Linked DNA regions of Drosophila melanogaster. The protein of the gene in region 2 purifies or fractionates together with the protein of the main gene of each other region. This does not show direct contact. Each region holds a gene or a part of one and is shown on either strand. Other genes may lie near its edges.

What was found.
Region 1: the proteins of Galphai (region 2) and mud purify together in Drosophila melanogaster (affinity purification with western blotting, with the first as the bait; one study listed by BioGRID). This does not show direct contact.

Annotation. Positions count from the first base shown.
Region 1 is NC_004354.4:14,239,567-14,254,260, reverse strand, and holds the start of mud (mushroom body defect), read right to left. Parts: upstream 6,530-14,694; 5' UTR 6,142-6,529; coding exon 6,103-6,141; exon of another isoform or gene 6,037-6,102; coding exon 5,862-6,036; exon of another isoform or gene 5,726-5,861; coding exon 5,141-5,725; exon of another isoform or gene 5,071-5,140; coding exon 4,964-5,070; exon of another isoform or gene 4,887-4,963; coding exon 4,779-4,886; exon of another isoform or gene 4,617-4,778; coding exon 1-4,616. Other genes in the region: CG32599 (uncharacterized protein), read right to left, coding at 7,883-8,431, 8,497-8,642, 8,962-9,013, 10,226-10,432; mRNA-cap (mRNA-capping-enzyme), read left to right, coding at 11,680-11,883, 11,948-12,880, 12,943-13,081, 13,136-13,409, 13,477-13,673, 13,741-13,943; Dus2 (dihydrouridine synthase 2), read right to left, coding at 14,338-14,588, 14,656-14,694.
Region 2 is NT_037436.4:6,967,986-6,985,343, forward strand, and holds Galphai (G protein alpha subunit i), read right to left. Parts: upstream 12,060-17,358; 5' UTR 11,654-12,059; coding exon 11,533-11,653; intron 11,238-11,532; exon of another isoform or gene 9,662-11,237; intron 9,495-9,661; exon of another isoform or gene 9,184-9,494; intron 9,022-9,183; exon of another isoform or gene 8,337-9,021; intron 6,489-8,336; coding exon 6,017-6,488; intron 5,948-6,016; coding exon 5,853-5,947; intron 5,794-5,852; coding exon 5,605-5,793; intron 5,549-5,604; coding exon 5,358-5,548; 3' UTR 4,765-5,357; downstream 1-4,764. Other genes in the region: Mis12, read right to left, coding at 229-411, 524-816, 880-949; CG9953 (uncharacterized protein), read left to right, coding at 1,847-2,634, 2,696-2,834, 2,897-3,368, 3,441-3,568; CG10063 (uncharacterized protein), read right to left, coding at 3,673-4,244, 4,307-4,373; CG43439 (uncharacterized protein), read right to left, coding at 15,930-16,100; CG32388 (uncharacterized protein), read right to left, coding at 16,215-16,294, 16,358-16,517. UniProt on the Drosophila melanogaster protein: Guanine nucleotide-binding proteins (G proteins) are involved as modulators or transducers in various transmembrane signaling systems.

The DNA.
Region 1 (14,694 bases), on a different chromosome or scaffold from region 2:
CCCTCCATCTCAAGACGCTGGTCCTTTATCTTCTTCTCGCAGCGCTTAATCTCATCCTTGGCATCGCGATACTTGGCCTGCAATATCTTGCAGTCTAGCGCTAGCTTTTGGTATCTCTCCTTATCCTGATCCGACTCCGTTTGGCGTCCTTCAGCCGCGCTATATGTGTCGCCAAGATCTCTTACGCCCTCCGCCTGGTTAGACTGGATGGAATTTAGTTCTTCCAACTCTTGGTTGGAAGCGAGAAGCAGCCGTTCAAGAGCTTCCACGCGATTCCTATAGAATTCGATGAGTTCACACAACTCGGCATTTTTATTCCCAACTTCACGAGCCGTCTCCTCCATCCTTAGTATCTGGGCGCCATGCTCGAGCCGAGCGTTGTCCAACTCCCGGGTAATTTCGTCTAAACGTCCGGTGACCACAGCCAGTTTATTCTGGGCCTCTTCACGCTCGGCAGTCTCCGCTTCCAAGCGATGCTGCAGTTCGACTACCTTAGGTATATCGGTGATCTGGGCTAGTTGGTCCTTGACCTGGTTATGCTCGGCGATTTCAGTCATTAGGCGACTCTGAACGAAATCCAACTTACTGACTTTCTCTGCCAGCTTTCGGTTAAGATCTTCTACCAACGAGTTGTGGGTAGCCATCTCGGATTTTAGCTGATGATGCAAGCACTCGACCTTAAAAGTTTCCACTTGCAATTGACTTGACTTGACGTTGTCTTTTTCTTGGCAACGGTTCTCCAACTTATTGATCTGTTCGTAAGCAGTCGCACGCTCCTCTTCCATCTGAGTACAGCGCATCTCCAATGTTTCGATTATGTCTTCAAGGGTGGCCAATTTCACCTCGAACTCACGCTTTTCCTTCACCAATCGCTCCTTGACCAGGAAAACCTCTCGCTGTGCATCTTCCTTTTGAAGCTTCAAGTCATCTGATAGTTTGGTCTGTGCCTCGAAGGCCGAATTAACCTTAGCCAGTTCTTTCCGTTCCTTCTCCAGCTCCACTTTCAGGTTATCTACAAGCTGCTGGACGGATTCCTTTTGACACTCCAAATCATCTGATAGCTTGGTCTGTGCCCCAATGGCAGACTTAACCTGAGCCAGTTCTTTCCGCTCCTTGTCCAGCTCCATTTTCAGATTATCTACAAGCTGCTGGGCAGATTCCTTTTGACGCTGCAAATCATCTGATAGTTTGGTCTGTGCCTCAATGACAGACTTAACCTGAGCCAGTTCTTTCCGCTCCTTGTCCAACTCCACTTTCAGGTTATCTACAAGCTGCTGGGCAGATTCCTTTTGACGCTGCAAATCATCTGATAGTTTGGTCTGTGCCTCAAGCTGCTGGGCAGATTCCTTTTGACGCTGCAAATCATCTGATAGTTTGGTCTGTGCCTCAATGACAGACTTAACCTTAGCCAGTTCTTTCCGCTCCTTGTCCAGCTCCACTTTCAGGTTATCTACAAGCTGCTGGGCAGATTCCTTTTGACGCTGCAAATCATCTGATAGTTTGGTCTGTGCCTCAATGACAGACTTAACCTGAGCCAGTTCTTTCCGCTCCTTGTCCAACTCCACTTTCAGGTTATCTACAAGCTGCTGGGCAGATTCCTTTTCACGCTGCAAATCATCTGATAGTTTGGTCTGTGCCTCAAAGGCCGAATTAACCTGAGCCAGTTCTTTCCGCTCCTTGTCCAACTCCACTTTCAGGTTATCTACAAGCTGCTGGGCAGATTCCTTTTGACGCTGCAAATCATCTGATAGTTTGGTCTGTGCCTCAAAGGCCGAATTAACCTGAGCCAGTTCTTTCCGCTCCTTGTCCAACTCCACTTTCAGGTTATCTACAAGCTGCTGGGCAGATTCCTTTTCACGCTGCAAATCATCTGATAGTTTGGTCTGTGCCTCAATGACAGACTTAACCTGAGCCAGTTCTTTCCGTTCCTTCTCCAGCTCCACTTTCAGGTTATCTACAAGCTGCTGGCCGGATTCCTTTTGACACTCCAAATCATCTGATAGCTTGGTCTGTGCCCCAATGGCAGAGTTAACATGAGCCAGTTCTTTCCGCTCCTTCTCCAGCTCCACTTTCAGGTTATCTACAAGCTGCTGGCCGGATTCCTTTTGACGCTGCAAATCATCTGATAGCTTGGTCTGTGCCTCATAGGCAGACTTAACCAGAGCCAGTTCTTTCCGGTTCATGTCCAGCTCCAGCTTCTGGCTATCTACAAGCTGCTGTCCTTCCTGCAGCTTTGCCTGCAGTTCCTCTAGTTTTGTCGACATAAGTACACAATTTTCAAGTGCGTCCTCTTTGAGCTGTGTTAAGCTTTGATTTTGATTTCTCTCCAAGTGCTCGTTTTTCTTAGCCTCCATGTCACATTTAGCTTGAAGAGCTTTAATCTGTTCTTCATACGTTTCCTTTATCTGGGCAATTTTTTCATCAGATGACTTCAGTTTGTTTTTCAGATCTTTCAGCTCGCACAACTTCATGGAGAGGTTCCTTTCCGAAGCCTCCAGATTTTCGATTATTTTCGCACGAAGGTCTAACTCTTTTTGCGCTTTTAACAAACTCTCATTCAACTTTGAATGCACGGTATGCGATACAGTGTTGTCCTCGCTTAACTTTGCGTTGACCTTCTCTAGGTTTTGGATGGTGTCGTTTAGCTGTTTTATCAAGGCACCCGAATGCTGGTTGGTATCCTTATTTTCTAGCTCTACCTGTAGCTCAGCCACTTGCATCTCCAATTTTGCTTGAGATTCCGTGAGCTTTTCTACCAACGACGAGGACTCCTCGTATCGCACCTCCATCTGGTCATACATTTTTAAAAATTCGGTCATACAAGTGCCCAGCTGCTGTGGGGTGTTTACGCCATTGAAATCTTGCTGAAGGCGATCCCTAATGGTATTGATAAACCTAATGGCTTCCACATGGTAGTCCTTTATTTCCTGCTGTGCTATGTCTAACCTCTGTGCCATTTCTTTCGCATTGCTTTGCTCCTTGCTTAGAGTATTTTCCAGCTGGACTACCTTTTGCTTTCTCTTGAAAGCTTCTTCCTCTAGATCTGTTATGTATTGCTTCACTTTTTCGGTGTTGACCTCTAGAGAAGTGATGAATTTATTGCGTTTTATTATTCCATTGATGTTCTGCTTAGCGAGCTCCTCATTTTTCGACCGAAGATCATCCAACTCCCGCTTGAGATCATCAGCCGAAAGCAATTGCCCCTCAATTAACATTTCAATATTCTCAAACCGCTTTTCAATATGCATCGATTCCAGAAAGTTGGTCGCTGAGCCCATGGTCGTGGATTTCGGACAATTTCTACTTCTTAAGAGTGTAAAGATGCGGGTCAGAAAACGATCAAAATGATTGTTATGCTCATCGAATGCCATGATCTGTGCATTCTTCGTTTCCAATTCGATCTCCGTTCTCTTTACAAAGTCTAGATGGGAATGCGTCATGTTGTCATGTTTAGCGCTGAGTTCATTTAATTGCTTCAGCATCTGTGCATACATCTTGTTATGTTCATCATGCATCATCTCCAGATCGATCAGTTGGCGTACGCGCCCATTTAAGGTCTCCCCATCTGGCACCATCATCATCCGGACCAACTCATCTTGGGCCGCGTTCTTAGCAATTAGTTCATTTCGACACACTTCATACTTGGCTCTTAAAAGCTCACCGCACTGCTTCAAATGCTGTGCATGGCTTGCCGCACTGGCCTCTTTATCTGCAATTTGGCTGAGCATATTTTCAAGGTTTATATTCCTTTTGCGCAGCTCCTGAATTTCAGCGCCCACATCTTTTATCTGCTTTTCCTTCTCGATTAGCTGCAGATTGATATCGGCCAAATGTTGATCCCCGCGATCAATTATTGATTTAAGCTCAGCGCATTTATCATTAAGCCTTTCGTTGTCTAACTCCAGGTCGTTGTTTTTCGATGCTATATCGACTACCTTCATATGACAACAACTCAAAATGGTTTCACACTCACGGCTCGATTCGAAACCCGACTCCATTGCCTCCGGTATTGTGGCCTCGAATCCATCTAGCTCTTTTGGCTGGCATCCCAGCGATACAGATAACAGCTTGCATTTCTCCAGTAGTTTTTCGACGCACACAGACTGAACGTCGCATTCCTTCTTCATTTGCGTACTCTTCTCCAACGTGTTAACAAATTTACTTTCGATCGCAGAAATGGTGGACAACAGGGACGACGATGTCCATTCTACCGGAAACTCGTGATCGATATTGTGCTTCTGAAGGAAACTTGAAAGGGCCTGACATAGCTCCCGCTGGGAATTGTTCAGATTCAGCAGCTTCTCCTTTAGCTCGGCATTCTCATGCTCCTTCTCGCGCAACTGTTTGTCAATCACGGAACTGGCCAAATTCTCGGGCGTGGTGTTCGGCGACAGCGAACAGTCGAGTAAATCCGAGGATGCGTTTAAGACCTCGATTCGGTTGTGCAAGTCGTCGCGGGCTTCTTTAAGGCACTTATCCAATTCCTGTTTATCGGACTCCAGAGAGGAGATCATAACGTCCCTGGACGATACGATACGAGTCAAGTCGTCTACACGACTTTCAAGGAATCGAATGCGGTCCGTATACTCCAGCAATCGTTTTCCTGCCAGATTCAGCTATTTAATGAATGCAAGATATAACATATATTAGATTTCATTATGAATTGAATGTAAACGAATATAATCTATACAGTTGCTAGTTTTTCGCTAACATTCGCACAAGACCCGGTGGAATTTTCTTTATAGTATAGTCCCTATAAAATTGAACAGGTAGCTTACCTTCTCGGACAGCTCGGAATTTTCGACACGCAAATCATGCAGCTTATCGGTAATCTCAGCGATGAGACTCTCCTTTAGACCGATTTCCTTTAAAAGGCATCCCTTCATCTGAAATGAGGATTAAAAGTTTTATTAGTTTATAGCTCCCGCTCGCTACCTGTGACCATCTGCGCTAGTCTACCTACATGCTCAAACTCATATGGCATAATGTGGTGGCTCTCGTTATCGTGGTGCTCTTCGGTTAGCTTCACGTTTCTTAGTTTTTCTAGTTCCATCTTGGCCATCATTTTCTCTGAAATGCAAACGATTATGAAATTACTTGTAAAAAAATTATGAAAGTAATGCATTCGAAGCATTCTAACCTTTGTTGAGAACTTTAATGAGCTCGTCCTTCTCCATTTGCTGCTCCTCCAGCAAGGCCTTTTCGTAGCGCACCACCTCCAGCTGGGTACGAATACCGCGCAGCTCCTTGGTGCGTTGCTCCAGTAGCTCCGTTTTCGGGGTCGAAGGAGGTGGCATTTCGCAGCCATTCAGGCGAAGTTGTTCGCGATGATTGCGCAACTGTGGCGTGCTGCTCGACGGCTGTGACGATGACGATGAGGGCGTGGATGGGCATGGTGCATCATCGCTCCTCGGATCGGGACTCAGGCTGCTGCTGGGAAGACATGGGCTGACTGAGGTCGAAACCCCTTGTCGGTAAACAACTGCAACGTTGGCGATCGCCTGGCTAAGATATTCGCGCGTCAACAGCCTGTCCACGGTCTCTCGAAAGAAGGATGCGATGCATGTCTGTGTCAGCTCCGGCAGTTTATTGCAGATGTTGTGAAAGAACAAGCTGGGCTTCTTAACGCACGAGTAATGCAACAGGAGCGTGTAAACGTAAAGGCAATCCAAAGGCAGATCGACTTCCTTGTCATCCTGTTGTGCAATGAACTCGGGATAGTTATCTGCATGGGAAAATTTACAAGTTAGTGGGTTCATGAAGTTGGAAGTGCGCTAAATTCTCATACTAAGGCTTCACTATTTATTAATGTTTCCCTATACCCTATGAGAAACTAGGAAAATAGGTAAAAAAAAACTTACGTGCTAGGAATTCCTGCACAAGGGGGCTTTGTTCTGTGGGCTGATCCTGCAGCTCATTCTTCCCCTTAACATTTTCCGTCTCCTGGATCTTTTGAATGAAGACCGAAAAGAAGGAGTCCAGATCCGACTGCTCCAAGGTAATGTAGTTCGATTCGATGAAGTGGCACTCGCCAATCTGCCGCAGAATTGGGTTAATCTAAATGATTCCCAGTGCGTGATGCGCAATGCGAGATTTACATACCCACTGGAGTAGGACCTTGCGCCAGCTGCGCGTGTCCATTGCGAATTTTTGTGCGTTTTTATGGGTGTGTGTGCGCCCGTATATGTATGCTCAATGTCTGCGTAGACTAATCACACTATCATTGTTGGCATCCAGTAACGGATGTTTTCCAGAACACGGCACAGCACACAAAACAATGTACGCGAAACAAACGGGTTTCGATCGAAAACGCAATTAAACAAAAAATATATTTAGCACAAATGCTCACGAAAACCGAATATTTGTTTTTTTTTTTGTATTTTCCAACCAGAAGCACAACTGCTCCGAACGAGCAATGAAAATTTAATGACTAAACTGAAGTCCGCAGGGCAACAAACAATTTTGACAGTTCCACAAACGAAAACATAGGTAACTAGATACGAAAAAATGCAACAACTTCTCGTTTCGGCGGCGCGTCGTTTAATTCAAATGCCGCAGCGCGACGCCATGCGAGGTGCGCTCGGGTATTGTTATCGGGCGATCGATACTTTCCAGCTGCAAGCCAGGCCGCGTCCACTAGATGCGTTTCTGCTATCGATATCTGTGCGAAAGAAGTGGCTTGTGTTTCCACCATGGCATATTGCATAATTCAAGAAACAAATGTTTCACATGAAATTTGATAAATAATTCAATCTACTTTGTTACGAACTGCTTTCCTGCCTTAGTGGAACGGCTCCAACTGCAATAACCTGTTGCTTTAATACCAAAGTATCCAAAGTATATAGTGATATTTTCAATTGAAATTATCAATTAATATATTAATATGTAATTAATATATATTATCTAATGTAATTTTCCAAGTATGGAAAAACTAGTTGAATCCCGCTATGCTGAAAAACTAAGCAAATTCCATAATTGAAACCGCCTTTTGTGTTTACCCCAATCTCACACATAGATGGCGGCACTGGTCTACAATGCGAATTTCCTGCCAAGTAAACAAGCAACCAAGTGGCTTCTATTTTGGCGGGGAATTCCAAAATCCGATGGCCAATAGCGACCGAGTGTGGCCCACCACATGTAAACTATTAAATTGTAATAACAATAATCAATGACCGAAAACAATGTGCCCGGAATTGCCACCCACCCATCCTCGTTTCTGGGCACGCACACGAGCACAGGGTAGCCGAAAATCTAGTTATAGTGCTGATCGTTAAAAATAACGCCACCATTAATTCGGACAAACAATGGAAATGCACCGCTGATGTACATGTAAAGCAAAAAAAAAAAATCAGAGAAAAAACCAAACATTTTAACGTAAGGAAGTAGGCAGAATAAACAATATGGTGGTGCGAAAACGACAAGCGGTTCAAAAACTATTGTCTAAATTAAGCGTTACAAAAAGAAAGCCATCAGCTTGATCGAAAATCAATAATTACAATACTTGAATTTCAACTTGAAAACACCTCGCCAAAAAATCTCGAACTAAACTATTCCATAACTATTAGTTTTACAACTCACTTAAATCAAGTTGTAAACACACGATTTTGAAAATATTCAAAAGCCAGATGGGCTGAACTATGTGCACAATACAATTCTCACGTATTTAGCATTGATTTCGTTACGAAGATCGGAACATTTCCTTCCTTTTGATTGCCGTCTATTTATAAAGGCGAATTTCCTGTTTATATTTTTTATAATACATTTATTTAGTCGACACAATGGCGAGGTCGGGCCTCCGCCCCCCCCCCCCCAAAAAAAAAAAAAAAAGAAAGAACTACTCCACTTCCACATGCATATGTACATCCATCCAGATGGTTATATCTCACGGAATCGAGCTGACACGCACCACCTGCGCCAGTGGCAACGTGTCCAGGCGCTGTAGTCGCTGTCGTTTCTCGCCGGGATTGAGCTTGGCCGCAGCACTGGCCTGGCCACCTGGACTGGCGACCGTACTGCGACCTGATCTCGTACCCGGACCAGATGCGCCAGCTGAATCCGTGCTATCGCTCTGCGCCTCCACCAGTTTGACATGGGCGATGGTCTGACCGAAGAGCTTCTGCCGGAAACTGGGCCTCTTGGGCGCTCCACGATGCACGCCAATGTCCGGCGTATGCGAGCGCTGATGGCTACGTTGATGATGATCATCTCGCTCCACGGAGCGCTCCTTGTGACGATGGCGTCGCTGCTTCTTGCGGTGCTCACCGCCACCGTTGGGCAGCAGCTCGTTGACGTAGTGCAGCGAACTGGAGGCACTGCCCGTGGAATCGGTGCCGGAGTGACCATGATGCGATTGCGCCTTCTTCGCGTGGCGCGCATGCTTCTCCTCCAGCTCGATTTTGTTCTTTAGCGTCACCTCCTCGATGTGCCGCTCCTGGAAAATGAAAGAGCATCGCTGAGCATCATTCATTGGCTTTCCTCGTATTTGGTGTGTCCTACAAACATGGCACGCCTGTGCTTGTCCCTCTTGGCCAGGACGACCACCCAGGCGCCGTAAGAGAGCATGATGCCCGCCGGTACCAGGACGCCAGCCAGCGAGTTCTCCGACTTCCGGACGCAGGCATGGTAGACGGCCAGGAAGAGCACTGTGGAAATGGATTTGAGTTGAGTTCGTGGCTACAGTCGTGCTTCGCTAACAACGACCAATTCAAAATGAGCATGCGAAAGTCGGTGGCAATTCGATTTGCGTGCTCTAATTTAGTTTAGTTTTTAGTTTTGTTTACCAGTTAAGAATTCGAAAATGATTTTAATAATGGTTTTCTCAAAAATCTAAAAGATCTTTTCATGTAAGCATTATTAAAGAGATACTTATGAATTTATACCTATGTATGTGAATATTTTTCACTTGGCTGGTTTGTGTTAGGCAGGCCTGACTGTAGTATTACAAAAATCCCAAAAACTTACCCAGAAAACAGACGATCACAGCCACCAGACGTCCATTGGCTTTTCGCTCCTCCTGCAAAAGGACAACATGGATATATGGGAATATGAGAAACGGGGTCACCAATTCCAATCAATTTGCAAAGTTGCAAAATTGGATTGAGAATTTTTCAGGGCTTTTCAGGGTTGGCTCTCTTTTTGTTTTTGTGAGTGATGCCATAAAAACAATTGTTTACAATTTTCACGTTCCGTGCATATAGAGGCTTATACACGGCAAAAAAAAGTGCAAATAGGTAAAAGCAAAGAAATCTACGTGCATTTCTATGCTGGACAAAAAGAAAAAAGTGATAGTTTCTTGCAAATAACAAAAAGTTAAGTGCCTTGGATTTTGAAAATAAGATTTCAAAAATGCTTAAATCAACTTGGATGCCAATTAATTTGTTTTTAATTGCACAAAAGTTTCCGAAAGGGAAACTCAATACCGATTTGATTATCTTACACTTCATAAAATGGCGTGATTTACACAAAAACGCTTGGGCATTTTTTTTTTTTTTGTGTATATCTGGGACTTTTGTTGATTTCGCTTCGTTATTTGTTGATCGCAAAATGCGTGCCTGATTTTATACAATTTGTATTAAATAGGTTTGGAAATTTTCAAAAAATAATGCGTATGCATGTCAAACTCAAATCAATTAATTTGGAAACACGCTTCTTCCAGTGTCATTTTCTGCACTTGCTGTACATTTTCCAGTTAACTATTAAATGGCAAATGCATTCTTAACATCCACTGTATGTGCAAAAAGATCTAAGGCGAAAACTAAACGAACATTTCGGATTTTATGATCGGACACACATTCTATTCCAGTGATTCCCATCGATAATGATGGCGCCACAAACGATGGCGTCGTACAAACTTTGAGAGACGTCTGCAAATCTCGGAAAAGCTGAGGAAAATCTGAAAGTCACAGTGATCCATTCGTAAATGACGTGCACGTAAATCAAGGTGTTTCCAATGAATCACAACACGGTGAAAAAAAAAAAAAAAAACGAGAGCACTCATGGAATGTCCATATGGTTATTGTTCAAGTTTTGTTTAGTTTTAAGCGATTCAGTAATATATGTAGATGAATGAAAAAGATCACAGTCATTCGATTTTTAATTGAGTACTGAAAAGTTAATTATTAAGTTCAGGTTTCTAAACTTGCGAATTTGGCATATTTAAGATATTGTATCTTCATTTCGCTTCTTAAGATACTTTTCAAAAGCACCGCCTCAAATTCAAACTTACGCGCGACTTGAGGTCGAGGATCTCGTTGAGATTCTCCTGAATGATCTCCTCCTCCGACATGGACGTAATGCTCTTCCGGGCCACCAGGGAGGTGAGGGCATCCGGCGACTTGGGCACCGCCGGATTGGAGCACACTGTGCCCGTTCCACGCGGCATGGCGGCCGGAAATTTTGGCACCGGCTGGCGATTTGAGGCGGTCGCGGACATGGGCGTGGCTCTGCGACGGAATAAGTGGCTTACGTACTAGTTCGGTTTGAACGGACCGCAAAAAAACAATCGAGTTTCGGAACGGAGTGTATTCAAATTTTCGCAAAAATTTCACAATTTGTATGAAGTGAAGATCGCGTCCGGGCGGCGATCAAAAATCGAGTGAGAGGCGAAATTGTGTGGTTACGAGCCCAAACCTCCTCGTTCCTCTTTTTTTTCGCGACTTCGTTCGATTTCTGCGGGCGATTTGTTGTTATTTGTTGTTTATTTACATTGCAGTAAATAATTGTACGGCTGGCTGTGTGTGCCCCAAGTTCATATCGAAACTGATGCGTATATATATATATATAGGTATGTGCGTATGTGTGTATGCACACATCGACCGAAATATGCAGCAATTAAATTGTTTATTTTTATGCAAAAGATTCGCAGCTATTTTGAAAAACGATTATCGATACAAATGAGCGGCAGAAGGTAGGGGAAAAACATGTTTTTTTAATTCTGTTCTGTATATTTAAAAAAATTTTAATTTTTTTATTTAATTAATTTTAATTACACTAAAATTTATTATATATATTATTAAATACTTTTGTAAATACTTTCTCGTAATTTCCCCGTGAGAACAACTTTTTGACGAATTCCCCCAACAATATTTTCAAACAATCGATGCTATCGATGTAACGGACGCATCGATAATTTGGCTGGACAGTTCGATGATATATCATTTTTAATAAAATCATTAAAATGATAAAAGATATAAAGATTTAACTAGATTTGCTACAAACATTGCAGGTCGCGCTGTTGTCGATTATTCCAGAATAATAACTTCTGGCTGTGCTCATTTTATTTCCGTTTTATTATTAACGTCTTTCTTATTTGAATTCACTTGCATATTAGTGTGACCAATAAGAAATATGAAAAATATATTTAGCAAAAAACGCGATATCTTATATATATATATATCATTTATTTTTATAAAAAGGGAAACAAATAAGATATCGATATTTTTACATATATATTCCACATCTCTAGACAAATCCTACACAGAATTCCCAGGCCCGCGAGTTCTCGCTGCATCTGCATCCACCACAATCTGCACCAGCAATAAACCACCTAACACAAACGCAACGGCGTCGTCCCATCGCTGCGCCCGCCGTTTCCATCGTCGTCAGCAGTAGCAGCAGCAGCAGCAGCAGCAGCAGCAGGAGGAGGAGGAGGAGCAGGAGAGGCGGAGCCACTGTGGCACTATGGCCCTAACTAATCGGGATCGGGAACGGGGCTCTGGTCCATTGCCCAATCGCTGGCTATACTGTCCGCGCAAGAGCGATACCATCATTGCGGAACGCTTCCTGGCCTTTAAGACCCCGCTGAGCAATAACTTTCACGACAAGATGCCCATCGAGTGCACCTTTCAACCCGAGATGCTCTTCGAATACTGCAAAACGCTAAAGGTGAATGCAAACGCAACATCCCCCAATTTCCAACTCACTTATCCAATCCATCTTATGGTTTCAGGTGAAACTGGGCCTCTGGGTTGACCTGACCAATACGAAACGATTCTACGATCGATCCGCAGTGGAGGAGCTCGGCGCGAAATATATTAAGCTGCAGTGCCGTGGACATGGCGAGACGCCATCGCCGGAGCAGACGCACAGTTTCATCGAGATCGTGGACAACTTTATTAACGAACGTCCATTTGACGTTATAGCCGTGCACTGCACGCACGGTTTCAATCGCACTGGCTTCCTGATTGTCTGCTATTTGGTCGAGCGACTCGATTGCTCCGTTTCGGCAGCGCTCGCTATCTTTGCCAGCGCCCGGCCGCCGGGCATCTACAAGCAGGATTACATCAACGAGCTGTACAAACGCTACGAGGACACGAATGCCGCTCCAGCGGCACCAGAACAGCCCAATTGGTGCCTGGACTATGATGATGGCAACGGCGATGGTTTTGTGCAGGACAACTCCTCATCCACGTCACAGCAGGCCGGCGAGCAGGATGACGACGCCGAGGAGGTGGAGGGAGAGGATGCGGGCGGCGACTGTGACGCCTCCACGTCGGACGGTCAGCCGCGTAAGAAGCGACGGCGCGAAATGATCATCAAGAATGCCACCTTTATGGCGGGAGTGCCGGGCGTGCGACAGGTGAGCGATCAGCCGCGACTGGGCGATCTGCAGCGTAAGGTGCAGGACTGGTGCGACTGGAAGAAGAACGGCTTCCCTGGCGCACAGCCCGTCTCCATGGACAGGGAGAACATAAAGCGGCTAAGCGAGATACCGTATCGTGTGTCGTGGAAGGCGGACGGTACACGTTATATGATGCTCATCGATGGAAGGGACGAGGTATATTTCTTCGATCGCAATCACTCCTGTTTCCAGGTGGAGAATGTGACATTTGTGGAGAGCAGGAACCTAAACGAGCATCTCGACGGCACTCTCGTCGACGGGGTATGTGATTCTAGCTGGCACTCCTGATTGCAACTAAATTATCGTTCTATTTGTCCGTTTAGGAGATGGTGCTGGACAAGATCGGCGAGACCGTAACGCCGCGCTACCTCATCTACGACATTGTGCGATTATCGAATCGCGATGTGCGGGACGAGCCATTCTATCCAAATCGACTGGACTACATTAAGACGGAAGTTATAGGTGAGTAATTATTCGATGTTCGTTTATGAAGGACACATCCATATATCGCTGCAGGTCCCCGAATCCTGGGCATGAAGCATGGCATCATCAATCAGCGGCTGCAGGCGTTCAGTGTGCGCGGCAAGGACTTCTGGGACATTTGGATGTCTGCCCGGCTGCTGGGTGAGAAATTCTCGCGGACACTGGCACACGAACCGGATGGCCTCATCTTCCAGCCATCAAAGCAGCCCTACACGGCTGGCACATGCTCCGATGTCTTCAAATGGAAGCCACATGAGCTCAACTCGGTGGACTTTCGGCTGAAGATCATAACAGAGCGCGGCGAGGGGTGAGTTGTAGTGATCTATCCGTTCAACGGGCTCAATTCATACCATGCCATTCTCCGCCTCTGGCAGCTTGCTGACGAAAAAGGTGGGCTTCCTCTATGTCGGCGGACACGATGCACCCTATGGACGGATGCAAAGGTTAACGAAGGAGACCAGAGAATTGGACAACAGAATCGTTGAGTGCACCATGAATCAGTTTGGCAACTGGGACTTTATGCGCGAGCGAACGGACAAAAAGAATCCCAACAGTTATAATACAGCCCGCTGTGAGTAGTAATCTTCACCAGCAGTAGGAGGATCCCTATACTCATTCTCAACTCATCTTAATTTCAGCCGTTGTGGACAGCATAAAGCATCCAGTCACCAAGGAGTACCTACTAAACTTTATCGCAAGCTCTGGCTATCGGAATGATCATGTCATGATGCCGCCGCCGATCAATTCCCATAACCAAAACCACAACCATAACCACTTTTATCCCCATGGTCATGGCCAACACCAGCGTCGTCCCTGCGTGAACCCGACATTAGGAAATTAATCAGAGCGTAATAAAAAAAGAAAGAATAAAATTAATCGTGAGTTATGTACCGAAAAACTGTGTGAACTTGGGTTTTCTTGGATTAGCTGAACTACGAATTACTTAGTACTAGGAGCACTCCAACCAGCTGTACTCCTTATAAACTTAAAACAGCTCATATAATTTATTTATCTAAATACATACATATATTTAAAGCACTGCACACTTGCAGTTTTGTTTATTCAGATGCAAACTTTGTTAACCCAATGGAGGTAGTCCAGATACTGCTCCCAGCACCTAAGGCAGTTGCAACAGCCATTGCAATAATCAAAAAAAAAAAAAACAACTAAATAATGGTGTCCAAAACATAGCCAAAATGGATGACATTTACATAAAACAGGAGGAACTTTGCTGCTCAGTTGAGCAGGCTGCCATTGTCGCGCAGAACCTCCGCCTCCAGCTGGCCAAGATGGAGCAGGGCCACCAGAGCGGCGCCCTGCTCTGCCTGCTTCTTGTTCTTCTCCCAGAAGGAGCTACTAAAGCGCTGGCCATCGTACGTGCAGATGGAGCGAAACAATTTGTCACACTGCTGCGTTTCGTACGCTGGCGGGGATTTGCCAGTTTTGACAGCATGCACATATAGTTGCGTTTTCGGCAGATGATTATCTGTGGCATGAAAAATACCGAATGGGGATGATGGCTATCATGGCAAGAGATTGATCGAAACACTTACCACTGGGATAGGTGGAGCGCAGGAATGGCATGTGTCGGC
Region 2 (17,358 bases):
TGCTAAGGTAAATTGGTTTAAAACTAGTAAGTAATCATCTAGGTGTTTCGGATTCATAATAATTTTAATTTAATTTAATTTTAAGTTTAAAACTAAGTTAACGACATAATAATAGGTAAAGTGGAATATAGAAGAGTCTTAGTGATTATAAATGACTCCAGGGTTAAAACTAGTTTCGAAAGAAGATATTGGAAATGTAGATTAAAAAACTTGATCCAGTTAGTTTATTTAATCAGTCTCCTTCTTTATCTGCAGGGGCACTTGATTCCAGAATTGCTTCAGCTTGGTGATGTTGAGGGAGGAGCAGCTTCGCTGCACGCGATCCTGCATTTCGATCTCCTTCTGGATGAGATCCTCCATGGCGGCGTACTTCTCCTCCTCGATCTTCAAATGCGCCAGCATGGCCATGTTCTGAAATTGATGTGATTTAGCATTATTAAAACATAAAATAAAGCATCCTTTTCCCCATTATAATGATTAAAATGAGGCATACAAGATAGTTTCCATTGGTTCTACAAGTTACCTCTCTGTATTTGGCCTTCAGCTCCTCCAACCTGGCTGTCTTCTGCTCCTCCTCTTCGCTGGTATACTGATTCTCGACGAACATGTGCTCCGGATGCAGCACATGCGGTGGAACGTGGAACACTTTGCTGTCCAGTTCCCTGAGGGCTTTTAGGCCCTTGGAGGCGGATGCCTGGAAACGACGCTCAACGGTCTCCTTCTCGGCTTCCAGCAATTCCGCTGTGGCGGGTGTCTTGATCTTGTCGATGATCTGACCAATACCCTTCTTAATTATGTCCTGCACAATATGTTCGCCTATTTAAAAGGAATTAATGGATAAAGGACGCTGATCCAGAGATATAAGGATGTAGCACTCACGCTCTGCAGACAACTGTGCCGCTGTGAAATTGAAGAACTTCTGATCGTAGGCTAGGCTATTGAAGTCCATTATGACAGTTAACAACAATATTTTTTTTAAATTATATTACAATTAAACTGGATAAAAACGTAAACAATCCAAATTGTCGCGCAATTAGTGTTACCGTTTTCAGAATACAAAGAGATGCTACCACAGCAACAGTGCTGCCATACTTAGCTACAAAATCTAGTTACTAAATTTGGCTACTTATAACTGACTATACAGATGAAAAATATAAAAACAACGCATACACATGCACAATTTCCTAAAATTTTTGACAAATACATTTATTAAGCTTTCGCATTAACGGCACAGTGAAACTCCACAATAATATTTACCTAATATATGGAATAATTCAAATAAACTATATGTTGTTTATTAAAGCTACCTAAAGCATTTGAAATTCAGGAAACTTCCATTAAATTAGTTCAGTGAGAATTTAAAATTACACGCAGATGGAAATTATCAAAGCATGCAAGAATGTATACTTTTCTTAATTACTTGACAAAAATTTTGCAAAACACGTTCACATTTACGGTGCTATTAAGCTCATCGATAATATCTAGCTAGGAAATAATATAAATAAATAAAAAGCTAAATTAAGTTTTGTAAAGTTACCAGAACACTTACAGCATACAGAAATCTTTCTCTGCTTAAAATTAAATTAATTCAATTAATGATTGAAATCAATAACTATGAATGCCCCTACTGTTTTAGTTTTGCTTTGCCGGCTTTGCGAATATAGATAATACAGCGAGAACTGAATAATCAGGAGAGTGCGACACACATAACGGTGCCTATATAAATAGAACACACCACTCTCCTTCAGTCGCTATTTACAGTTAGGCACTGTGCGAGGTTCCAACTAATTAAATACTTCAATTACTGGCAAATTCTACTTGACCCGAACAAACAAAGGAAGCAAATATGCTTTTCATTGGGGGCGTTTTGAGGCCCTTGGGAGTGGGTCTTCTGCTCCTGGGACTGCTTGCGCCCATTTCCGGAATGGGATTTCGACGCGGAAGGCTGACCAAGGGATTCCTCGGGGAGCCCAGCAAGATTCCAACCCTGCAAAGGAGCCTGCACTCGGAGGATCTGTGGTTCGAGCAGCGATTGGATCACTTCAAGTCGAGCGATAAGCGCACCTGGCAGCAGCGATACTTTGTGAATGCCGACTTCTATCGGAATGACAGCTCCGCACCCGTATTCCTGATGATCGGTGGCGAGGGCGAGGCGTCGGCCAAGTGGATGCGCGAAGGAGCCTGGGTGCACTATGCCGAGCACTTTGGAGCGCTGTGTCTGCAGTTGGAGCATCGTTTCTATGGCAAGAGCCATCCCACCGCTGATCTGTCCACCGAAAATCTGCACTATCTCAGCTCGGAGCAGGCTCTGGAGGACTTGGCCAGCTTTGTAACCGCCATGAAGGTTAAGTTCAATCTGGGCGATGGCCAGAAATGGATCGCTTTCGGTGGCTCCTATCCGGGATCGCTGGCCGCCTGGGCACGCGAGAAGTATCCCGAGCTCATCTACGGTTCAATTAGCTCCAGTGGTCCTCTGCTGGCTGAGGTTGACTTCAAGGAGTATTTCGAGGTGGTCAAAGCCTCTCTAGCTGCCTACAAGCCCGAATGCGTGGACGCCGTGACCCGCAGCTTTGCGCAAGTGGAGATTCTACTCAAGCACATGATTGGACAACGCAGCCTGGACGAGAAGTTCAAGTGAGTGGATTAGGCTATCGTCCTGCACAAATTTTAATTTTGTAAACCATTTTATACTCAGAACATGCACTCCCATCAAGGACTCCATTGAAAACGACCTGGACATGGCCAATTTCTTTGAGAATCTGGCTGGCAACTTTGCTGGAGTGGTGCAATACAACAAGGACAACAGTCCCCATGCCACCATCACCATTGACGACGTGTGTTTCATCCTCACTTTGATCCCTATCAAGTCCATACTAAGAATGTTTGAACTCCATAGATCTGCGATGTCATGCTAAACACCACGGCTGGTCCACCTGTGACCCGTTTGGGCCTGGTCAACGATATGCTATTGAAGGAATCGAACACCACCTGCCTGGACTACAAGTACGACAAGATGGTGGCGGACATGAAGAACGTTTCCTGGGACTCGGAGACGGCCAAGGGAATGCGCCAGTGGACATATCAGACCTGCCACGAATTCGGCTTCTATCAGACCTCGGATAACCCGGCTGACACATTTGGTGATCGCTTCGGTGTCGACTTCTTTATACGCCAGTGCATGGATGTGTTCTCCAAGAATATGAACGCCAAGTTCCTCAAACTGGTGGTGTCCGCCACAAATGATAACTATGGCGCCCTAAAGCCAAAGACCACAAATGTGTTGTACGTGCACGGTTCCATTGATCCCTGGCATGCTTTGGGCTTGGTCAAGTCCACGAACGCAGCACTTCCTACCATTTACATAGAAGGTATGTGCTTACCAACACATTTTTCACATATAACTTGGGTAATGTAAGCATTTATTGTGTTTTTTTTTTTAGGAACCGCTCACTGCGCCAATATGTATGAGCCGGTGAAAACCGATCCGCCACAACTGGTGGCCGCTCGCAACAAGATACTCAAATTCTTGGCCAAACTACTGGATGGCTACACCTCGGCGTTAATCTGATGGAAAAGTGGCCAAGTCAAGTGTAATTTTGTACTCGTCAGCGAGTTGTTTTATTTTTTGCTTTCGCATGAGTTTTATAATATATTTTTCGGCTCCGCTGGGAGTTAATCCTTCTTGGCCTGCTCCATTTTTTCGTGGAATCGCTTCCAGTAGTGCTGCACCTTGGCATTTTGAACGATATTGTGCTCGACAAAGTTGAGCAACCAGGTGGCGGTTAGGTAGGTCAAGTCATAGAAGAAGGCAACCACGCGAAAGAAATACTTTTCGGTCTGCTCCTTGCTAGGCAAGTTGGCCATGACATCCTGCAACTGCTTGGCGGCCGCCTCCTTGGCCTCCGATGCCTTCTTCTGCGCCTCGGTCATCTTGTCCTCGTTCGAAGTGCCCTTGCTGCGCACGATGGTGCTGGCCTCCAGTGGCTCAGCTCTGCCCAGTTTACCGCCTGCGTTCACTACGGAAATAGTTGGCGCCTGCACCTCGCCAATGGGCACATCCTTACGCGTGGTGTTCTCTGGGTTATTGCCCAAGGTGGATGGAAACCCTGGAGCCGCAAATCCAGGCGGCACGTTCTTGGGCTTCTCATCGCCGCCACCTTCGGCGGAGAACTTGCGGTCGAGATTCAGGAACAGAGCACGCGGGCGCACAGTATTGCCATTGAGGCGATTCAATGTGGAGTAGTCTTTATGGTGGGAAAAGGCGTTAAAGTTTGCTAAGAAAAAAACACGTGCCTGCTTCACTTACTCCACGCTGTGACCAGTGGTCCCGCCACCGACTTACTCCATTTGGTCATTACCATGGCGCGAATCATTTTCCAAGTTTAAGCAGATTAAAAATTCTTCACTGAAGCAATTGACAATTTCAACAAACGAATTAATCCAAAATGCCTGACAAAAAGCAGAATGCGGCAAGGCCAACTTGACAATCATCAGCCAGAGTTGCAACTCTTTCCGAAGAAAATCCCATTTTTTTTGGGAAAGAACGCTAAGTTCAAAAAAGCTAAACCTAAAACAAAATTACTGTTTCTAATATATTTATGAAAATAGGCACAAGCTATAGCTCTAAATTGGAATATACACTAAACTAACTGAGCAATGATCAACATAATTTAAGGATCCTAATATTTATTTTACTAAGTTGTCAGCTCTGTAAGCGCACATGAAATAATAAGCAGCATTGGCAGCATTCAAGTACGAATGGTTATTTTGTATAAATTGTCTTTTATTTAGGCTATTACTAAACATATTAGTAAGTTTACTAGTTACATTTTAGGGCTTACAACTCCAGGCCTTAGGTTCACCTTAAATAACGCTGTCAAGCTCTTGGCAAAGAATAAACGTCCGGAAAATGGCTTGCGCCCAAGGAGACACCTCTGGGGATTTCTGGATGTGGTGCTCCCCTTGGTCACCGCCATTAGCCCGCGAAACTTAACTAAATTCCAAAGGGAGCCGATCGGGTTGAGGTTTTAGGATGTACAAAACCCACCGGCTGTCCTTTGTCGAACTTTACATTTGTGTGGTTAGGCTAATGTTTAAATTAGTTAGCTTATGGGTGCAATTTAATGGACACGGTTAACTAAATTGCAGCTGGTTAGGTTATTTGTTCCGCGACTACTGGCAACCAAATCGGTTATTAAAATTACGTGTGTCAAGCATGTAACGCATTTAAAACATATATGGATCGTACGAGCGTAAATGTATCGAGTTCTTAGCGTTTAATGGAAATGTTTATGCGCGTTTTCCTTTAATACTACGACGCCAGCTAAATAATGATGATCTTGTGCTCCGCCGCCCTCTCAGAATAAGCCAATTTGTTTCAGATTGTTCTTGATGATCACATCGGTGACGGCATCGAAGACGAACTTCACGTTGTTCGTATCCGTGGCGCAGGTGAGATGCGTGTATATCTCCTTTTGGTCTTTTCGCTTGTTCAGGTTTTCGAACTTCATGCGAATGTAGTTGGCCGCCTCCTCGAAGGTGTTGGTTCCTAAAAGTATATCAAGTTAAACAAAAATGTAATCGTTTTCTACACTCTTATCTTACCTGTGTACTCTGGGAAGCATATCGTCAGCGGAGATCTCTTGATCTTCTCCTCAAACAGATCCTTCTTGTTGAGGAACAGTATTATGGATGTTTCCACAAACCACTTGGAGTTGCAGATGGAATCGAACAGCTTCAGGGACTCAATCATACGATTCATCTCTTCGTCCTCGGCCAATACTAGATCGTAACCTAGCGAAATATATAACAATTGCATTAGATTCCTAAGATTCGTAGAATATTTGACTTACCTGATAGCGCGACGCAGAAGATTATGGCCGTAACGCCCTCGAAGCAATGAATCCACTTTTTGCGCTCCGATCGCTGGCCACCCACATCGAAAAGTCTGTGGCGAAAAAAAAACATAACCATTAGAATCGAATCAACCGGAAGTGGGCAATTAATGACAACTCACTTGAAGTGCAGCTGCTTGCAGGAGAAGTGTGTCTCGATGATGCCAGTGGTCTTCACCCGCGTGCGTAGCACATCCTGCTGCGTGGGTATGTAGTTCGGTTGCGCGATCCTATCCAGCGAATTTAGATAGTATCCCGCCGAGTCATTCAACTGATATTCGCGCGATCGGGCGAAGCTCTGCTGTACGCCACCGTCTGCCCAGAGTTTCTTCATCAGGAGCACGATCTCGGGCAGCAGGATGCCCTCGTCGGCGGCAGAGGCGTGTGTGAAGAACTGGCGGGCAATGTCCGTTCGGCTCGGATCGGCAAACTCGATCTTCAGGCGTCCCATTGCGCGGATGATCACCATTAGACTCTGCACCGTGTTGCTGAAGACGACGCGACGATACTCCTCGCATTCCTCCTGCGAGTAGCCCGTGTCATGGATGATCTTCATCTGTTTCACAATCGTTGACTTGCCCGACTCTCCGGCTCCTACAAAAGAAATTCAACAGAGTTTATTAGTTAAGGTGTACTATCAAAGTTTATAAAGAATCATTCCAAGGAAGTGTGAGCTCAATATTTGTATGCACCAAGTTCAGGGCGTAAAACTGAATGAATGAATCGATGAGTTCGGTTTCGGGAAGGGGCTTTTAAGTTTGCCAAGGGGAACGGAAGTGGAATTTATGAATGAGACGATCGAGAAAAGTTGCTCAATTGCGCGACTCAAGAGGTCACGCTTAATTGCGCTGGTCTAGTTGAGAAATGAATGAACATCGTGTATATGGTCATTTAATATAGCATGTCGGATTTCAATACGAATCAAATGAACACCAAATAAGGGTCAATAATATTGTGATAACAGATCAAGTTATATGCACATCATCATGCTAAAGATAATCCAAATAGATATATGCATTTTCTAAGCGTACTACTCTGTAATTTATTATAATTTATTAACTTGCATGGCCGAGCCCTGGAGTTCGTTGAACCACCCACCCATTAGTTATCAAAGGCGTTGGAAATTGCGGAGAAAATTAACTGGGCATAATTTTATTCGCCGAGTGCCTTCAATTGTTAAATGAGACCTGACCCGTCAGCGTTGATAAACAACAAACACACGGGCTCGTCTGGGCAGTTTATTATATATGTAGTACTATGTATATTATCTGCTGCGTCGAATGATAAAAAAAAAAATATGAAACATAATCGCATTACGTGCTCGCCAGTTTCCCTTTTCGCTGAAAACTAAAGAAGTTGAAATCGCAGAGCAAATGGGCAAATACAAAAATTGGCAAATCTGCCGGTCCAAGTAATTTCGAATATCTATAGCTATATATAAACATATATACACGATGTTGGGGCATTGCAACAATGGCGCATTAAGCCGACTTTTTGCTGCAGTTGGTAGTTGGGTCCATTCCCAGCCACCGGATGATTAGGTAATTGCCAAAGCCAAAACTGCGACTTTACTTTCACTTTTCTCAACTTTCAGGGCTTCGATACTTGCACTGAAACTTTAATTGTTTTTACTATTCGTACGTATATCAATCAGCCATGGTTGAAGTTCCCTTGGGGCGGATGGTGCTCATTCAATGAAGATTGGTAAGTTTAATACATATGTTACGTACATTTATGAAGATTAAGAAATTCAGCCTATAGTTTTAGGTACCATAATGTGTTAGAATAGGGTCCACTCTAATTGTAATGTGCTGGCCACTGTTACACCTACTGTTAATATATATTACACTAAATGGCCACTGTTACATTCACTGTCAATATATATTACATTAAATTTGTTTTATAAATTTTTTTGAGTTATTGTTAAGACTTCAATTTTAACCAATTCCGAACAATGCTAACTAATTTTGCCACCAAAAAGTGTTGGAGCGAAAGAGACGCCTGCTGAATGCTGATAATGGGCAAACAACGGTCGCCGCATAATGATGAAATTGACAGATTTGAATACGAATATGGACATAAGGCGATGTTCAAACTTGCCACCGTGTGGAAAAAAGTAGCGAACAAAGCAATCCACAAATGAGCGGCTGGAAAAAGGTCAATTTAATAATAACACTACTAACAAAATGCGAAAGAGTGTGTGCGTGTGTGTTGGTGTGGCTGGGCCTTCATTTATCAATGCACCGTTAGCTGTGCCATAACACGCGCCCGGCCGACTGCGGGTGCGAGCGAGAGGCCAACAATAGGGCTGGAGCGAGACGGGCTCAGAACAACGGCGATACGCACAAAGCCGCGTTTACAAGCTCATTATCATCGCGATGGCCACAACCAAACGGTATTATAATTAACATCATTAAACAGTGAATATCGGCGAAAAAAGAATCGGCGGGGAATGCAGGAATTCTAGCTTCTATTGATATATTTTATAGTTGTTAGAAGTTGCTAAAAAAACTTTTTATTATATTTATTAGAATTTGAAATTGTAAACAACATTCAAATATTTGTTCAATTTGTCATAAATGATTAAAAAATCACTATTTAGCTAGATAGGAAATTTAAGGAAGACATGCAGTTTTTACTGCACCAACCAATTCGTTAGATAATTACTTATCGAAATTAGAATATTCATTGGAAACAGGGTGACTAAGGCTACGCCATGCGATGATTTAAAAAAGAGGGGAGAAGAAAGAACAATAGCTGTAGACAGCAAGAGGAGGAGAATCGTAAGAAAGTGTTTGCGCCATGAGTAATCAAGTTAAATGGCGCCTGGCCTCAGTTATCGAAGTGGGAAATGTGTTAATCAGCGGGGAGTGTGAAATTGAGCGGACCCACCGAAAAAGTAAACAATTAAATCAGATGAAATGCGGCCCCAAAACGGAAGCCCCCCACCTAGTAGTGACTTTCACGCAGATCTCTCGATTATCATGAAATTTCCTATATGTGATGTACATACATATGTACATCAATTATTTAACCACATATAGTATATTGACGTACATATGTATAAGGTCGCTCGCTTGGCGATAATTTTGATAAGCCCAATGATACTTTCAGTTTAAATGTGTTGGTAAGCGAGTTCTTAAATAATTGTAGATTATTAAGTTGCTGTGTGTTGACAGTCTGAGTGCCGATTTTGATATTGGTGCGCCAGCAGCATGACACTATTTTGTTTATATATTATTTTCTTCCCATTTTTTTCATATTTTTTTTTTTTTTTTTTTTTTTACAGATATCCGAGTTCTTACTCATGCCCCCCCCATTGGAATTCGTTTTCTCTCTTCGGTTTGCTGCTCTTTCCTTGCAAATATCATCAAAATAATGCAGTAATTCACTATCTTTGCCCTTAAGCACAATATGTTTGGTTGAAAAACGGTTGAAAAAGTTGTGCTTTTCAATTGAAAGGCTTGCGGAAAGGGGGGGGGGTAAGGAAAAGGGGAGAGGCAGCAGAGTGTAATATAAATTGAGTGTCAGCTGAGCAGCTTTATTAAATCTACTCAATAAGCGCAGCGTTGGGGGCTGCCAATTCCGATTCCAATTCAAGTAAGTAGTCGCTGTACACTGGTAGAAATTACCAATAAATTCAATGAATAATATATATATTTATACTAAATTATAAGCAATGTCTTTACTGCATAATTTGAAAACTATATTTTTTAAAGATATTTTTTTTAGCAAACTAGTACATTCTTCTTTTTCTTTCCGTGTAGCCGCGACAGTTGCATTTGATGGCGGGCCCATTTATTTGCGCTAATATCGTTCACCCCACTTGAAATGTCAGCGAACAAACAACGAAGCAGCAACAAAAACAGCCAATTACTCAGCTGGAAGTCGGAGGAAAGCTGCAGCAGCTCGGAGATCGGAGATCAGAGATCGGTTTTCATCATGATCCAGAAATTACAGAACACACGCCCCACAAGGTGCAAACAATTGAATCAAGTGTAAAATGTTGGGCTAAATTTCAAAATGCAACTGGTGCAAGCTGTTTTCTTGGCTATGTAAACCAGAAGCATTTACACTGGTCAACCGGGGGTTTGGACGAAAACAGCTGGGATACTGAATGATAATAGGGGATATCTTTTAATGGGGATGAAAATGGTAGAATTTTCCTGCACCTTTTAGCGGGCATTTTCCAAACCGGTTTACGAGGTTTTTCATTGAGGCAAACAGTTTTCCTTATTATCTTTAAGCCTGCAAATACAGTGGTTACTCACAAACAAATATAGTGCAAGGTGCGGTGGCTGCTGATAAGCTCGATAAATGTTTTACAGTGTAAATGAAAACTACACTATGTTCTAGGTTCCAAAAAAATCATTTACTAATGTGCATCATTTTTTTTTTTAGAAAAATCCTTTTGAAATGATAACATTTGACATTATGAATTAATTTAGTACAGTAAACCCTATATATCAGTTCACTTAATAAAGGTGTAGGTTGCATAGCCAGTCTTTGCTGTACTTTCCAGCCTACCACTCGTTGCCTTAGTCATCTTGGCCCGATTCATTGGCCAATCAGCCGCGCTGGAGGAAAACTTCCACGGCATTGTTTTTCGCAAATGAATGGCAATGAAATGAAAAGTACACACGCAGACGGTGAAATATATCATCGTTCCCATATGCCGTGCATATAAATCGGCGAGTGGAAATTTAATTGCAGAAGGTTGCAACGCAGCGAGGCATTCAGTTTCACTGCATTTGCCGCAGAGGTCGGGTCACCAAAAACCATACATACATCATATATGTATGTATGTATGTATGCATGTATGTTTGTATATGCGATACGATGGCGCCTCGTCGCTTGAATGGTTTTTCCTGCAAAGTGGAAACCGCTGCGCTATCAACAAACATGTTTCCATTGCGGCAATGGGATCCGATTCGATCCACTTGTTGCATCGATCCAAAAGATCTGAAAAGTGCGTGCCAGCAGATGAGAAACGAGCACTGAGTACCGAGAATCTAGAATCGAGTGTATCCGCACAGTCAAACCGACATTTGGTTTCAATTTACGTTCAATTCCCTTATCGCCAACGAATTATTGGACACAGACATTGCATAATGCACGATCTACGAACAGACGGATTTGTTTAGCCCCAAGCAGCCACATAAACATTGGTTTTCCCAGATAAACAGAGCTGCATGGAGTCTACTTACTCCATTCCATGCATATTTATAGTCGAAATATGGGATAGTTGGGGACTTTAGACTTTTATGTTAAACTGTTAGCTAGAATAACATGGTCTTATAATAACGAGTGATCTTAAAAACAAATAAATTACATTTTTCTAATTTTAGTCTTACTAATTCGTTATACTGTAACTCTACTGTATTGTTTCATCCCATGCCTTCCAGCCTTTTCCAGACCCTTTCGCACTGGAAAAGCCGGCAAAAATCCTTGCCCCAACTCACCACAGCCGAAAGCGCAAAGCAACGGCACCCAGCGGATACCCACCCCGCCCAAGCAAAGCGAGCGAATGGAAAAAAAAATGAGGTCACAACGCGAATTTCAGCAAAGAATTCGCAAAGGGGGGAAATACCGGAATAATGCTAGAGAGGTGAAAAGGTGAAATGGAAGGCGAACGCACCCAGCAGCAGCAGTTTCACCTCCGAGGCGGCCCGCTCGCCCTCCGCCCGCAGGGCGCGATCGATGTTCTTCGACCGCTCGATGGCCTCCTTATCGCGTGCTGTACTCACGGCACAACCCATCTTCGAAATATGTCTTTAGCGATTTGTTGCTCCTTTCTCACTTCGCGCACTCTTCTCACACGCGATTTTTCCAACAATTTCGAGATGCGTCTGCGCGTCGTCGGCTGTACACTTTTTTTCTTTTCGTTTTTTGTGTGCGTTTCCACCTCTCTTCCTTTTCACACAAACACACCACACATGCGCAGCGCACGCAAGCACACACACACAAACACACGCACACACACTGGCTTGAAACGTTTTTGGGTTTTTTTTGGAGATTAGCCCGATTGCATTGCTGTTTTCACGCTTCTTGCTGCAGCGGCAGAGCCGATTTAATATTCTTTTGTCGCTTTAATTTGCTTATCCGCTGATTTTGCTGTGCGCAATATGATTCACTTCGCGTCGGATTGGTGTGACTGTTTGCCGAAGTTCACAGATCGCTTGCTCACTGGCGTTAGTGCATTGCACACGATCGTTTGTGTGGCAACGCTGCCGGGTGTGGTACTCTGCTAGCTGCAGTCTGGCAGTACTCGCGGGGTGTGTGACTTGGCTAGCATCTTCTTGTAGGCAACTGTGACGTCACTTTTGGGCGGTAAATTTCAAATTAATTTAATTGATATACACGCATTTTAATTATCGCAACTTTGTAAACTTTATGCTTGAATGCCACTCATATGATCCTGTTTCCGCTGTTCAGTCGTGAGCCATACATGCATTATGCCCAACTTGCCCTTTGCATTTCAGTTTGTTGTTATAGCGCTTTAAGTGTAAATAAACATAGCCGAAAATATGATGTTGTTCTGAAATGCATGCCCCGCCACTCCCCCCTCATCAACACCAATGCAATGTGCACGCAGGCCGTTGGAGAAAAAGTTCTCAGGGCCCTGGCATAAATAATATTTGCCTTTATTTTGGGACAATTCCATTCCATTCTCGATTTGAATCCCAAATGTCTGCAGTTGCATGCGACGCAGGTACAGTGGAGCTCCTTTCTAACAAACTGACAATATTTAGAATCATTTAAAGTCAATTCGAAGAACAGAACTTTTTAAAAAATAACATAAATACGTCAATTCTTAAATAACAAAACATATGAGAACTAAAGAAATTACTTTCGTTTGCACTGTTAATCTTTTTATTTAAACTGAGCTTATATTTTATTGAGCTTATATTTTTAGTAATATTTAATTTCATTTTTTTTAAACTTATTTTTAGAGAATCATGCATATGCAATGATCATATAATTAATAATAACTTTATTAATGCAATAATATTAATATTTCAAAATTTCATTAGCATAATTCCACTTATAGAAGCTCCTCTGTTTTTTTCCAAATCGATGATATTAAAAGAAACTATTTTGTGAATTTTGTGGTATGGAACGTGACGGGGGGGGGGGGGGGGGGCTGGTCTTTCCGCAGCTAATTTATCTAAACAAAGCGATGCGAAGGCAGGAAGACGAGGATGCGGATAAAGATGAGAATGAGAATGAGGATGAGGATGGGGTCGCAGTGCAAAAGTTTTGCCGCCGCCGGAGGACGTCACATGTGGCCACCATCCCCCTCCCCTCCTCAAGAAACACCCCCACCCCCCTACATCCACCACCCCTCCTCTTGCTCTACCATGAATATAAAGGCCATCAACGGGTCATGATTTACACATGTTTACACGAAAAGTGCGGCATTTGCAGAGGGGCGTAGGAGTGGCGGGGAGAGGGACGGTGAGGAATTAGGGGGCATGCGGGGGTATCTGCTGTCTTGTGAATGAATGATCATTTGTGCGCTACCGAACACCCTGCAACCTCTGTAATTTATCGTAAAAAGCACAAGCTAGAGAAATATGGATTTATGCGGTTTTCGCTGCGCGTGCGAGCGAGAGAGAAATACAGTGATGCTGCACTGTGGGTGGTCGCTCTCATTCCATCTCTGTCGCACTTACTGCCTGCAAATGCGGCGCACGCTGCCACATTGCTGCTCTTGTTGTTGTTGTTGCAGTCGGATTCGGAATCGGAATCGGAATCCCAAACTGTTTGCTGATGCCAACAAATTTGACGAATGTCGGCATCATTTCATCCAAAACTTCAATCGCCATCGGGAAAACGAAGATGAATAAGGAAGGAGAACCAAAAACAACAAGCTGCCAGGAAAACAGCGGCTAGAGAGAGAGAGAGATGGATATGGAGGAGCAATTACAAGGATGGGCCTTGAAATAGATATACCGTTAGCCGGGCCACACATACCATGCACTGCGAGAAAATAGTACAATACAAGCAAGTTGATTTCTGGCGAGAATTCGGTTGTGATTGATATGAAATTTGGTATGTGGCTGGTAGATTCAGAAATGCAAATATTTCCAAGTAATTTATAACAATAGATAGATTTAAAACCATGAATAAATAATTTACACGAATTGGAAAATCCTTAAATCTTTAATAACCAATATTAATAGTTTTATATATATTTTATGTAGTTTAACATTTTGAGGATCCTAACGCAAGTAGTTCCTATTTCTCTCAGTGTCTGCGCGCTGAGTTTGGCACATGTGTGCTGTGTTGTGGCCCTGGGCAAACTCAAGATTGAAAAGATTAATTTCCCCGATAATTCGGCAGGCTGGAAAATGTAGTTTCGGACGAAATCTCTCGCCGGCCGTTGAAAGGTGGAACAGACAGGCGGGAAAAGCGCTCATTTTCCACCAAAAATCAGCCCCTTCAATCTGCAGTCTGCCGCCAAGTGAAGTTGCAGTCTGCAGTTTAAAGAGCACTGATGGATTCCTTTGGGCGTCGATCGTCGGATTATCCAATTGATTTTCGGCACTTTTTCAAAAACGACGTCGGAAAACCGACAAGTGGGGAAAATTAATCGACAGGAAAAGTGGAATGGAGTTGGGGAATGGGTTCAAAATTGGTAGTTACATTGCATTGATTGAGGATATATGTATATATTGGTAATTAAATATATAGTGAAACATGTTTTGTTGCTGTGGAAAATGCCTAATATATATGTATATTAATCAGCATGGAAATCTTTCGTCCGGTTTCTTTCCGCCAAAAGTTCCGATCCATCGATTGTCTTGTAAAGAATTAACTAATAAAAGTGATTTATGTTTAAAACATCTATGTATTTACTTAGCACAGCTAACATGAAAGATACCTCAGACCGCGAGTAACCCCAATTATTCAATAAATTCCGAAGATTTGCCAGCGAAATGAGGCCGCAGAATCGTAAAATCCGAGCGAATAATCTCTTCGACTAAAATAAGCCGCATCGCATTTGTTTACACTGCGATAACTTTAATAACTAGCCCAAAAAAAAAACATATATTACACCGATTCATTCGATCAATTCAAAAGCAGCCCAAAGCAACAAAAAATATAAAAATAAATGAATGGAGCTGGGGAAAATAGTATTTCAACTATTGAACCGACAAGTGTGACTATGTCGGTATATATATATATCTCACTTTTGTTTACATTCCGCAAAGGAAAACCCGAAAATATAGATCTTACATGGCCATACGGTTGCAACCTGCAGTGCGGAGAAAGGGGAGGGGGGAAGAAACGCTTCGCGGCAGGAAACAAAAGTCACTGGCGGTGCAATTGAATTGCCATAAAAATGGAAAGAAGCACCAAGAAATCGGGCCATATCCCAACCATATCCACATCCACCCACTCACGGATGTTGGGCTTCTGGATTGCGGCTCATCTTTGTCATGCATCTGAGTATCTGCGAGATTGGAAAATCGCAGTTCGTGGATTGCAACTATGGTTGCAACTGCTACGTGGCACCTTTTAAGTACCTGCCAGCTGAGATTGTGCAGTTTTTCCCCCCAAACAAATTTAAGATAGTTCCCATGATTCAGTGAGAAACAATTGCTTTTATCTAACAATTTGGTTCGCTTCAAATTTAGATACATCTCGCTGCTGGTCATTCTGCCCTTCGCCGTCGAATTTCGATGCCTGGCATTTTCAGACATCGTAAACCGACCAGGGAAATGGATGTTGTATCACTTGTCTAAGTCTGGCCATCGCCTGTGCCCCTCCAAAGCTATTTTTGACCGATTTTAGTTGATGCTTTATGGCTTTATAATGTCTGTGCACGATCCGTTTTATGAGCTGCCCGTAAAATGGACCCGATTCATCTGGGATCTCCGGCAACAATATGGTAATTTGCTGCCCATTATATGATCTTCAATGGGAACGGGGTAGCTTCTTTAGCTGCAGACTGTAAGGGTTTGGAAAGAAAATCTATATTTTCGAAAATTGAATGTATACACAGAGCTAACCATTTGAATTTCCTAACTAAGATCTCTTTGATTCCTCCTCCTCCTGCTGGCCAAGATCCTTTTCATCCTTGCCAAAGGACTGGCACTTTCCCAGCAGTTTGCCAAAGAGTCCTTTCTCATTTTCCACCGCCGTTTGATGGCGAAGGATCAGCAAAGTTCTGCGGCACTGCAGCAAAAGTCGGGACATGGTTTTTTTTTCTTTTGTAACTTTAATTTTGACTTAGGCCAAAGCAGCTTGAAGTTTGTTTAAAGGCCTGCTGTGATTTTGTTTAAGGGGCTGAAATGATTTATTCGAACTCTGCTACTTTTTCTTGCACTCATCTTTGGATTTGTCTGAGCCGCCGGGTTTGTTTTTGCAACGTGGTGAAGTGGGAACAACAGCTTTGCAAAAAAAAATAAAACTCAAAGATTAACAGGATTCTTTTCTAGTGATATCGTACCCACTTCTGCCACACATATCCTTCTTCTTTTTGTCTTTCTTCTTTTTGGAATCGGCACCCTTGCAAGAATCCTTGCCCGAATCCTTCGGCGATTTGGCCATTAGTCGTGCGCCGAAAACGCCTTCACTCAATTTCATGAGCGCCAAGCTGCGCACTTTGAACATGATTGAACTGAATAATTTTTTATCAAATAATTTTAACAGAAATTTTGGTAATATAAGTGTCCAAACTGTGTGCTGAACTGAGTTTTCAAAGCTACTGCTTAACACAGAAATCAAGGGATATCTGATTTTCCATTGAAAAACTTTCTTCTCTCCTGCCAAAATTGACTGGTCAAAACTATATTTAAGCCATAATTTTTTGCTGAATTGTATGGAAAAATCGATTAGTAATGTGAAACATGACTGATTTGGCTCTCAATTGCTTGGCTTGCATTTTTTTTGTTTTGGGTTTCGGTTGCATTTACAAGCCGAGAGTTTTCAGTATCCCGTGGCTACCGCTTCCAAAATCGAACTCAAGTGCCGACCACACATTTGCCACGAACCTCTGGATTTTTTTTCTTTTTTTTTTTGGGCAAAGGGAGTTGGAAATGCGGGGAAAATCGGGGAAATCGTCGTGGCGGCGCCACGTCAAAATATTTGTCGTCAGCGCCTCAATTGCTACGATTTATGGTGCGGATAATTAGGCGACTGCTGCGTCAGGATGTCGCCGTTGATTAAAATGAAAAGAAAAGGGAATTTTCCAACGCTAAAACCACTTGAACATGATCTTAGTTGGGGGTTTTGAACTTGTTCAACTGTTTACTAATGATCCGCTGCTGATGGCTTGTCAAGAAAATTGACTTTGATTCATTGCTGCATGGTTAAATCCATCAAAGGGTAGAGAAAGTGAAAAAAAATCCTTCAACTGCACTATACCGATCACAAGAAATCATTAGGCTGATTTTACCTTCGGCACGTGAAAAACATTTAAGCAAATAGTTTCGGCATTCGACTGTCAAGCGGT